2 linked regions of the Saccharomyces cerevisiae S288C genome follow. The gene in region 1 interacts genetically with each later gene. Each region holds a gene or a part of one and is shown on either strand. Other genes may lie near its edges.

The links.
Region 2: of ADY3 (region 1) and YKR015C, changing one enhances a phenotype caused by changing the other (phenotypic enhancement), as found in Saccharomyces cerevisiae (one study listed by BioGRID).

What each region holds. Positions count from the first base shown.
Region 1 is NC_001136.10:25,775-30,928, forward strand, and holds ADY3 (Ady3p), read right to left. Parts: upstream 3,002-5,154; coding exon 629-3,001; downstream 1-628. Other genes in the region: GTPase-activating protein LRG1, read left to right, coding at 1-102; GUD1 (guanine deaminase), read right to left, coding at 3,211-4,680; AIM6 (Aim6p), read left to right, coding at 4,883-5,154. UniProt on the Saccharomyces cerevisiae protein: Involved in the pathway that organizes the prospore membrane (PSM) during sporulation. Mediates the assembly of the DON1 ring structure at the leading edge of PSM during meiosis II.
Region 2 is NC_001143.9:466,140-470,310, reverse strand, and holds YKR015C (uncharacterized protein), read left to right. Parts: upstream 1-1,643; coding exon 1,644-3,350; downstream 3,351-4,171. Other genes in the region: MIC60 (Mic60p), read right to left, coding at 1-594.

The sequences.
Region 1 (5,154 bases):
ATGCAAAGTAAAACAATCGATTATTCCGAATGTGACATAAAAACTCCTGTCACAGTCAAAGATTCGACCACAACGGTCATACAAGGTGAAATAAACAAATAATAGGCAGAAACTGTAAGTTTCCCCTCATTTTCCTTTTTTTCTTCTCCTTCCCCTCAGATTTCGAGGTTTGTCGTTCTTATTAGAGTTCTTTGCTTTTTTCTTTGCCTATTTCAATAAAATCTTACCAGTATGCTATGGAAATGGACATTATTTTATTATTATACAACATAGTATATTCTGACTAAAATGGAATTAGAAATTGTAACATTAGTATGTACTTATAATCATTTGTATCATTGTATTACTCGCCTTTTGATGTAAATTTTGTTTATATCTCAGAACATCTCCAACAGCAGATCAGAAGTTACATTGTTCTTGTAAGTGCTTAAGAAGTCTGTTAGCAAATTGAAATCTTTCAGAAGAATATTCCACCAAAATTTCGGAAAAGCAATACCAGCGGTAAAATATCTGCCATGCTCTATATTATGTGACTTTATTTTAGGTGCACCCCCCACCAGTAACTTATTCTCTAAATAATAATTAATGACACCATTGAATATATTAGTTCTAAATAAAAAAAAAAAAGCTAAGAAAAGAAATATTTAAACAACGCTTGCAAATCATACTCAAGAGGATGCTTTACTTCAGCAATATCATGATTGTTCAAAAACTCATTCATTGCGACCTTTCTTCTACTTTTGAAATCTAACTGTTTACCAAAAACCTTAAGGTTCAAATCATTAGCAAATTTTGTGAGAAGTGTAAGCTCACATCTAAGTTGAATGACAATTGTTGGTACAATTTTTAAGAAGGTTTTTAATGGGATATCCAACACAATTAATAAATTTTTGATTAGATTTTGCGATTGCACATAGGTAAGGTCTGTCAGAATATCAAGACCCAAGGAGTCGTACTTTTCCTTCGTTATATGTGGAAAAGATTTTCCAACAGTTTCAAAATTAAGTTCGGTAGAAGGATCACCATATAGTTTTTTTAAATTCAGCTTCTCTTGGAATACATCTTCTTTTAGTGATAGAATTGTTTCTTCGAGTTTTAATATTTCACTTTGTTTTCCAGCTAACTCGTCAGTAATTTTCTTATGTGTGTTTTCTGACTCTTGAATTTGAGTGCTCCATCTTGAAGCAATCAAAGCCTGATTCTGAAGTTTCTCAACAATTTCCTGGTGTTCATTCATGTAATCGTTCAATTTATCTTCGGCATTTTTCTGAATTTTTTCACTTAGTATTAATTTTTCTTTTAACTCGCTCTTCAGTTTTTGAAAGTTTTCTTCCTTGAGGTTCAGGATATCATGCCATCTCCTTTTTTCCAAACGAAATTGTTGTTCTTTTGTTAACGCCTCTTTTTGAAGATATTTTATTTTGTGACTGTGCTGCTGTTGCATAAAATGTAATCTTTCATTAATCAATTTAAAGACAGAAATGATTTTTTCAAGACGTATACGGTCATTCTTTTCCAAAAGTTCTATCTTTCCTTTTAATTGTTTGTATTGCTCCATATTTTCAAGATTTTTGATATCTTGAAAATCCGGATAAAGCTTGGCAAAACCGTTTTGAAACATCGAAGGGGAATGGCCACATTTCATTTCTTCTAGTATGAATTTACCAAGGTCTTTCTCAAAAAGAGAAAGATTTTGCATATAGCTGTAAACATCATTTAACCTTTTCTCGTAAAACGAACCATTATCATGTAATTTTTTATTTTCATCTTGAGAAAGTTGCAAATTGCTTTTCAGTATTTCAACTTCAGATCTTAATTTTACTATAGAGTTATTCGATTCGTTAATATCTTTTAGAAATTTATCATTTTCTTGCTGCAAGTTTAGGATTTGTTTTTGCTTCCTGTATAGTTCCGAAACTAAAATATTTCTTTGAGAAAAAGCTTTACATTTAGTTTTGGCACTAGTCACTTCATTCTTCTCCTTCTTGCTAGCGTTTTTGTTTTGAAAGTCTGTAATTTTTTCTTCTCTAATTTTTTTAATTTCTTTGCGAAACCGGTCCTGAACAATGTTGAGCCTTTTTGATGCAGCTTTTCTTTCGTTGTGGAATTCCTTCTGCAAGTCTTCTATTCTTTGAAGTTTAGCATCATTCATGCTATTAAGTTCTTCTAGTTCTTGAATCCTGTCATCCTTCTCTTCTAGTTTTTGTCTTAGTGCTTTGATCTCTTCATTTTGGGACTGGAGCTCATCTAATACCTTGGGTAAACTATTTTCTTTAGAAATACTTCCTCCATATGATGAAGAAGATAGCCTAATTTCTCCTAATTTCATATATTCGGACTGTTCTTCATCTGGAGTTTTAGATGAGCGAAATACGTTCTCTAGATGCGCAACCTCTATATTCTCCTCCAGACTCTCATTGCTTACAACATAATGCTCATCATTTGAGATTGCTGCGACTTTGTGGGGATTCGTGAGGAGCTTTGTAGGTGTAGAAGAAAATCTATTCACTTCAATACTATTGTGTACTTTGTATGTGGTAAATTTACCAGGGCTTACATTTCCTAATGTACTGGGCTTTCCTGCAGGTGACAGAGCCTGCGAGCCTATTCCTACAGTTGGTAAACCACCCCTTTGTAGAAATTTATTAGGCGATTTTAAAGTATTTTTTTCCGTAGCATTTTCCAATGTACTAATGTTACCAGAAGGTGAAGAGGCTTCTGAACCTGCCCAACTCTCTGAGCGGTTTCTTCGGGAACGCCTATTCGACAGTTTTGATATAATATCAGAAGAAATACTTTCCTGCACATTAGATTTTTCAGTGGACGTAGGTACTTCAGAGTCTATCCAAGTTTGTGAACGCCGCTCTCGAAAAGGTTTACTTTCTGGAGACTTAGTTAAAGTGCCATCAGTAACATGTCTCATCTCCCCCTGCTGGTCGCAATCCGAGTTTTGTTCCTTTAGGGATTCAGGCTTATTCAAAAATGCTAACCAATGATTCATATTCGGAGAAGTTTGTTGTATTCAACTATCCCATTCAAAATCCCAAACCGAGTTTTGCAATTCTTTCACTGGCAAATCTCTTTGTGTTCCTAATCTTAATATTGTACAATGGGCGGCTAAAGCGCGATACGCAAAAGAAATTTGTACATATACTCAAATTACTCATTAATACTTGGAACAAGATATAGTAGCCCTCTAAACATATACAACTAAATCTGGTAGACTTGCTGGCCGGCTACCCAAACTTTAGTGGTGTTGCGATCATCACCGTTAAAGAACCATTTTGCGATTATGTCTTCATTAGTAAGCAGCGGTGGGTTCTTATAAGGGTCTTGCCCTTGCTCTTGCTCTTGCTCTTGCATTTGATCCTTCTCCTTTAGCTGCCAATGAAACATATCCACGTTTGAGCCGGGAGCATTGGTATCGATCATTTGAGCGTCAAACTGCTTACCGACGTCAAAAGTCCCCAAGGTCTCATCCATACGCAAGACTTGTGCTCCGCCCATTGTAGCAAGAAATAGGCACTCGGAGACTGAAAGTTTTGCATGATCAGTTTCTCTCATTGCCAAATGCCTTGAAACTGCAAAGGCCTGCCTTCCGGTGGTGAGTATGCTACAAGAATGACCGGCTGAAACGTCGGTGCCTAGACCAACCTTTATGCCCTGGTCCAGCAACCATCGAACCCTACACTCTCCAGAAGTCAGAGAGGAGTTGGAAATGGGACAATGAGATATACCACAGCGACGCTGTTTAATCACACGCGCTTCGGCATCTGTTAGATGAATACAATGTGCCAATACTGTTTTTTCTGTGAGCAGCCCATATTTGTCGTATACATCAGTATAGCTCTCACATTCGGGAAATAAATCTTGAACCCACTGTATCTCCTCCTTATTTTCCGACAAGTGGGTTTGAACGTGTATGTTTTCATCCTTGACTAGCTTGGACAACTGTTGCATTAGTTCTCTAGAACAAGAGGGCGCGAACCTTGGTGTCACTATAGGATTTACGAGGGGATCACAAATGGTTTCCCGTATGTACTTAACAACTTTCACAGTGCTTTCAAAGGAAGTTTTAGTATCTTCAATATAATACTCGGGACCATTGGTATCCATGCACACTTTTCCAACAAGAACACGCTGCCCCAATAAGGAGCTTAGTTGAGCCAAGAGCTTAGTGGACTTGAGATCAATGGTATTATAGTAAGCCACAGTCGTTGTACCGTGAGAAAGCGTCTTACTTATTACCTTATTGTAAACTTCTCTCGCAATATTTTCGTTTGCTAGTGCGGCTTCTATGGGGAAGGTATACTTCTCTAGCCAATCCAGCAGGGTAGAATTCCCAAATACGCCGACATTTGGATATTGCGAGACATGGTTATGCGTGTCAACAAAACCTGGAAAATAAAAGCTGTTATTTCGAGTCTTGTCTTTTCCAATTATGTCAACCACCGTGACATCCTCTGGTGATAAGCTACTATCGTGATCTAAACAATCTTTGACAGGATCGAGTGAATTTCTGTTCACAAACCTGATGATTCCGTTGAGAACTCCAACAGATGTTTTCTCTCTGATTCTCAGCTCTCCTAATTTAGGGGTATCTACAAAGGTACCAAAAAAAACTAGAAACTTTCCATGTTTGTCGTTGAATTTATCAAATAATAAATCACTTTTTGTCATATCCTCTTCAAAGGACAGCCCAATTCATATATTCATTCAATAAAATGTTGTTCTTTTGCCAATGGCCTGTTTTAAAATCCTTATCTTGTCTCCTTTTATAATCCGAAACTATCCAAACTTCCGAGTGATAAATCGCCGGATAGGCATAAAATATGACTCGAGATAAGACCAACAAAGATAAGTACCTCGGTTTAGTTAAGCGATGTTAGGACTGAAAGGGTGTCTAACTATTCTTATTGGATACGTTATTGCTGTCTGTGCTTTGTTTTCCAGTAGGGGAAGAAATCCTTCATTAACTGATTGGGAAAAGTTAAAGGACCAGAAAATATCGAATATTGATAACTTTGGGTTGACCGGTCAACATCTTTTAGAATTTTTCCAGGAAAACTTGCCATTTCTAAGTTTTTCAGAGGAAAAGTATCGTCACAAACACGTTTCTTTATATTATGATGTATTCAAAGAATATATCTTACG
Region 2 (4,171 bases), on another chromosome or scaffold:
GGATAAAGCCTCTTTTAACGTTTCATTTAATTGGGATAGATTCGTAAGCATATTCTGGTTAGATTTTTTGATTGAATTGAATTCTGATTCGGGGATGGAGAGGTTTGAGTCATTTAGACTGTTGATGAGATCATTCAAAGAGCCAATGATTTCTTTCAGTTGCGGATCAGAATTTTCTGTTTCAATATTTAGTGGTTCTAATGATAAGATTTTTTTTACTTCAATATTTTCCCTATTAGATCTGCGCGTTTGTGAACTACCAGTTAATCCAGATAATAAATCATTGCTCTTTGCCTTCAAGCCGTCCCAAGAATCTTCTAAAAACAATGTTGGCCTATCGTGATAGTGTTCATATGTTTCTAGTAAATCCTCGGCAAAAGGAACGTTATTAGAGAAAAAGTCACCAAATTTGTCATTTTTTTGCGAATATATGATACCTCCAGCGTAGAAAGCTGTCGCTGACAAAGCAATAGTCCAAAGGGTATTGCGAAATTTGTGCGAAGCCTTTTTTGATGCAACGGTAGTCCCTGTGTTTATGCTGGCTAGACCCCTCCTTAGCACAATTTTTCGTGAGGCAGTAGTTCTTAGCATCATACGAATATTAGTTTTTTAGACTTTTCAATGCGTTCTTATGCCTTTTGTGTTCCTTTACTGTGAATAGCTTCCTCGAGAATAAGAACAGTTTTTAATTTCAGATTATTTTTCACTTTTTTGACAACCCTTAATTCCGATTCCGCACAGAAATCCGTCTTAGAATTTTATTGGTTCAATGAGTCTGCTACACGTCTAAAGTGATTCAATTCTGCTTGTCCACTGCTATGATGCATTGGTTCTTTGCCGACTACGTACTATAAGAAGCCATTTGATGAATCACTATTTTGCAAGTAGTTTCTTCTGTTGTTAGTTTTTTGCAATATTTATTTCTCTTTTTTCTGTAAGAAGTATATGAATCTTACAAAATATTATGAAAACTTTGTTGTATGCTATTGTCATAAGAATGGTTACGGAACGTACGAAAATAGACTTGCTAACTGTTTTTGAGCTGGAACATGTTCCACGCTCCGTGTTTGATGTATAGCATATATTGTATTATGTGCCCGGACGATTGCGTGAAGATGGAAATGCAAGAAAATTACCTCCGGAAACTGATAAGAGATCTTGAGCGTATTTTGATTTGCCTGGCCTTATAGTAAACGGAATCATATCAAGTAGTTGATAAAAAGAAATGTATTGGTTATATTGGATGCTGTGCGGATATGTATTTCGATCTCTATTGAAATGTATGATATTTCTTTGTTTTCGTCAGACACTGAAACCATGAGAAGGACCCAAAAAAAGAGTAAAAGACGTTTGTCATCCAGGATCAATGACGTTACTTGCCTCTCTATAAGCTTAAAGCGCTTAGCGGATGATGGACGTGTGTAATTTGTTACCCGCCTCTCTTTTTTACCTTGTTGTGTCAGTAATTGCATCACCTTTGTCACCACAGAAATGGTAAGAAAATATGGCCATACAGGGCAAAGGAATTTGGCATATCAGTCACTGAAAATAGTCCATAAATTTATTTATTTTTTGTTTTAAAGTGATTACTCGGTAAGGTCTCGAATAGTTAAAAAAAAAATTGACGAGATTTTTTTTTAGCTATGTTTCTGGACTATTCTGGATATGAGGCTCTTACTGAAATCAACTCTTCCTTTGGAAAGTATGTTCTTCTATTGCAACAATTTGAAGGCTGTCGAAGTTTGAAAGATCGGCTTCAAATGCTTAAGGATCTGGGGAGGGAATTTATGATATTCGAGAACTTGAATGTGGAAGATTTCAGAGAATCTAAAAATATGATTCACAGATTTTATACTATGGTTATTTCTTTAAGACAGATTATGGAAATTGGGCCCTTAGTCAGGCGTAGCCCTGCTGTTTTAGTTGTGGAATTCGATTGTCCGGTAGAGGATTGCCTAGATGAACTGGATCCGTTGCATCCATTGAACAGGGCCTTTATATTTATTCATAAACAATGGACCTATTATCATCAATATTATATAGTTGAAAAGGTAAAAAAGGTGATTCTTGATATGGCCCCGGTAAAGGAAGATGATTGGAGCATCCTTCACAAGGTTGTTTATTCAGAAGGTTTTGTCGAAAGACGATATAAAAAGAAGAAATACCTCGGTGATATTTACATTCCACAACCATTAATGAAAAGCAATAAAATCACTACTATCTCAAATTTTTCCCAACTTACCAAAATTTCCAACGTCAGAGTTTACAGATTCAACGCTACAGCAGCGTGTGATCCGCAGAACTTGAACAAAAAAAACTTGAGTATCAAAGAGCTTAAAGATAAAGACCTTCCTAATCTTATTTGGACTTTAGAACCAGAAAAATTCTATGTTGACATGAGACCTTACAAGGAACACGAGGAAAGGAAAAAACGGAGAGAAGAAGAAGCCAAGGTGAGGATGCAAGGTGAGGAACAGGAGAACATTATGATAGAGAGAAAAAAAATGGATAGTATTGAAGTTGAAGCGTCATCAGGATTGAAAAATATCATAAAAACACCTCTCGCTAATAGGGTTGTCAATACTTTTAATAACTGCGCTGCTGTGGTAATAGGCTATGTAACAGAAGTGGATAAAGTAAAGGATGACAATGAAGAGAAAAATAACGACAGACCTAAAATTGCGAACGACGGAATAGCTCAAAAGTCTAGAAGCGAAAGTGAAGATAATGCAGGAACACCGATGGAAAACGCGTACTTTCAACCTGAACCCCAAGATAATGACCAAAACAACATATCTTGGAATACCACTATGAAAGATATTGATCCAATTTACATGAGTGAAAGATGTGCTAGAGTTTGGAGAAAGGAGCAACAAATGCTAGGATTGGAGAAGGCTCAGACATTTGAGAAAAAATATTGTAAAGATCAGATGGTTATGGACGAAAATCAGGTCGAAGAACCTGGTAAGCACTCGGAGAGACATACAAAAAATCAGGTAGTTAGACCTAGGACCAAAATAGCATCTTCCGCCAGTAAAAATGATAATAGTAATAATAAAAATAGTAAATCATGCAAAAATTGCCATAAAGAGGAAGCGCACGGTCTAGTGAGAGAATACCTTAAGATTAAACTCAACATATCACCTCATGGAGAAAGGAATCAGCGAACAAAGGACAAGAGAAAATGTATAATGAAATACAATGCGAGCAGTAACAACATCAACAAAATGCCTGGGGAGAGTGAAGTACTTGGGTCAACTATTTTAACAGATATCCACTTTAAGGATGTCGTAACTGTGAAATTTAGGGATTTTAAAGCCAAATTTAGAAAAGTCAAAATAAACGCTTGATTTGCCAAAAATGCTATAGTCGCATCTAGAAATCATTACCAAAACGTGACGATTAACATAATACATTCAAAAATAAGATAGGATGCATTACATTTCATTATACCGTGGATTGGAACTGAAGATGAAAATTGCAGTAAATAGACAATAATCAGGCCTTATGGTTGTATGTCATATGTATACTCAAGATTTGAACTTTATATCACCTTTATTAGCGCATTAGCGCACATTTTAGGCCCCATTTCGAGGAATGTGGATTTTTGGCAAATCAATGTTTCTAGGTGTCTCTTAGCTTTCTATATAAGGAGTAAGGTATGCTTCTTGATGACATCAACCGTTTACTATACTTTTTTTAGATATTTTGTTTTCTGCGATAAGTATGATGGAAAGTAAACTGGTAATAACGTCAATACGTACTCTCTTGTAATTGTAGTGAAGCACAGTAATTAATATTTAAGCGTTCCCATGTTCAAATGTGTGAAAGGTAGGTAAAATCATTATGTTAAATTTTGAAATCCACATGACCTTGAATTAAATAGGCACATCACGATTGTAAAGGAATGAAATCAATCTGACTCCAAATTACTCAATGTTCTTAACACTATGTGTATCATTGAGACCAAACGGCAACTTCATAGTGTCTTGCTTTCGTGGACAGCGACTACTATTCTGGCCGGACAATTCAGGTTTATAAAGCTCTGCCCCTGCGATATGAAGTTACAATGTTAACATACGGGAGTGAAGGGAACAGGCCCGTTTACCAACTGTCAGTATTAATTATTTGTTAAGTCGCTTCGATATCGAGCTCTGGACATATCTAAATT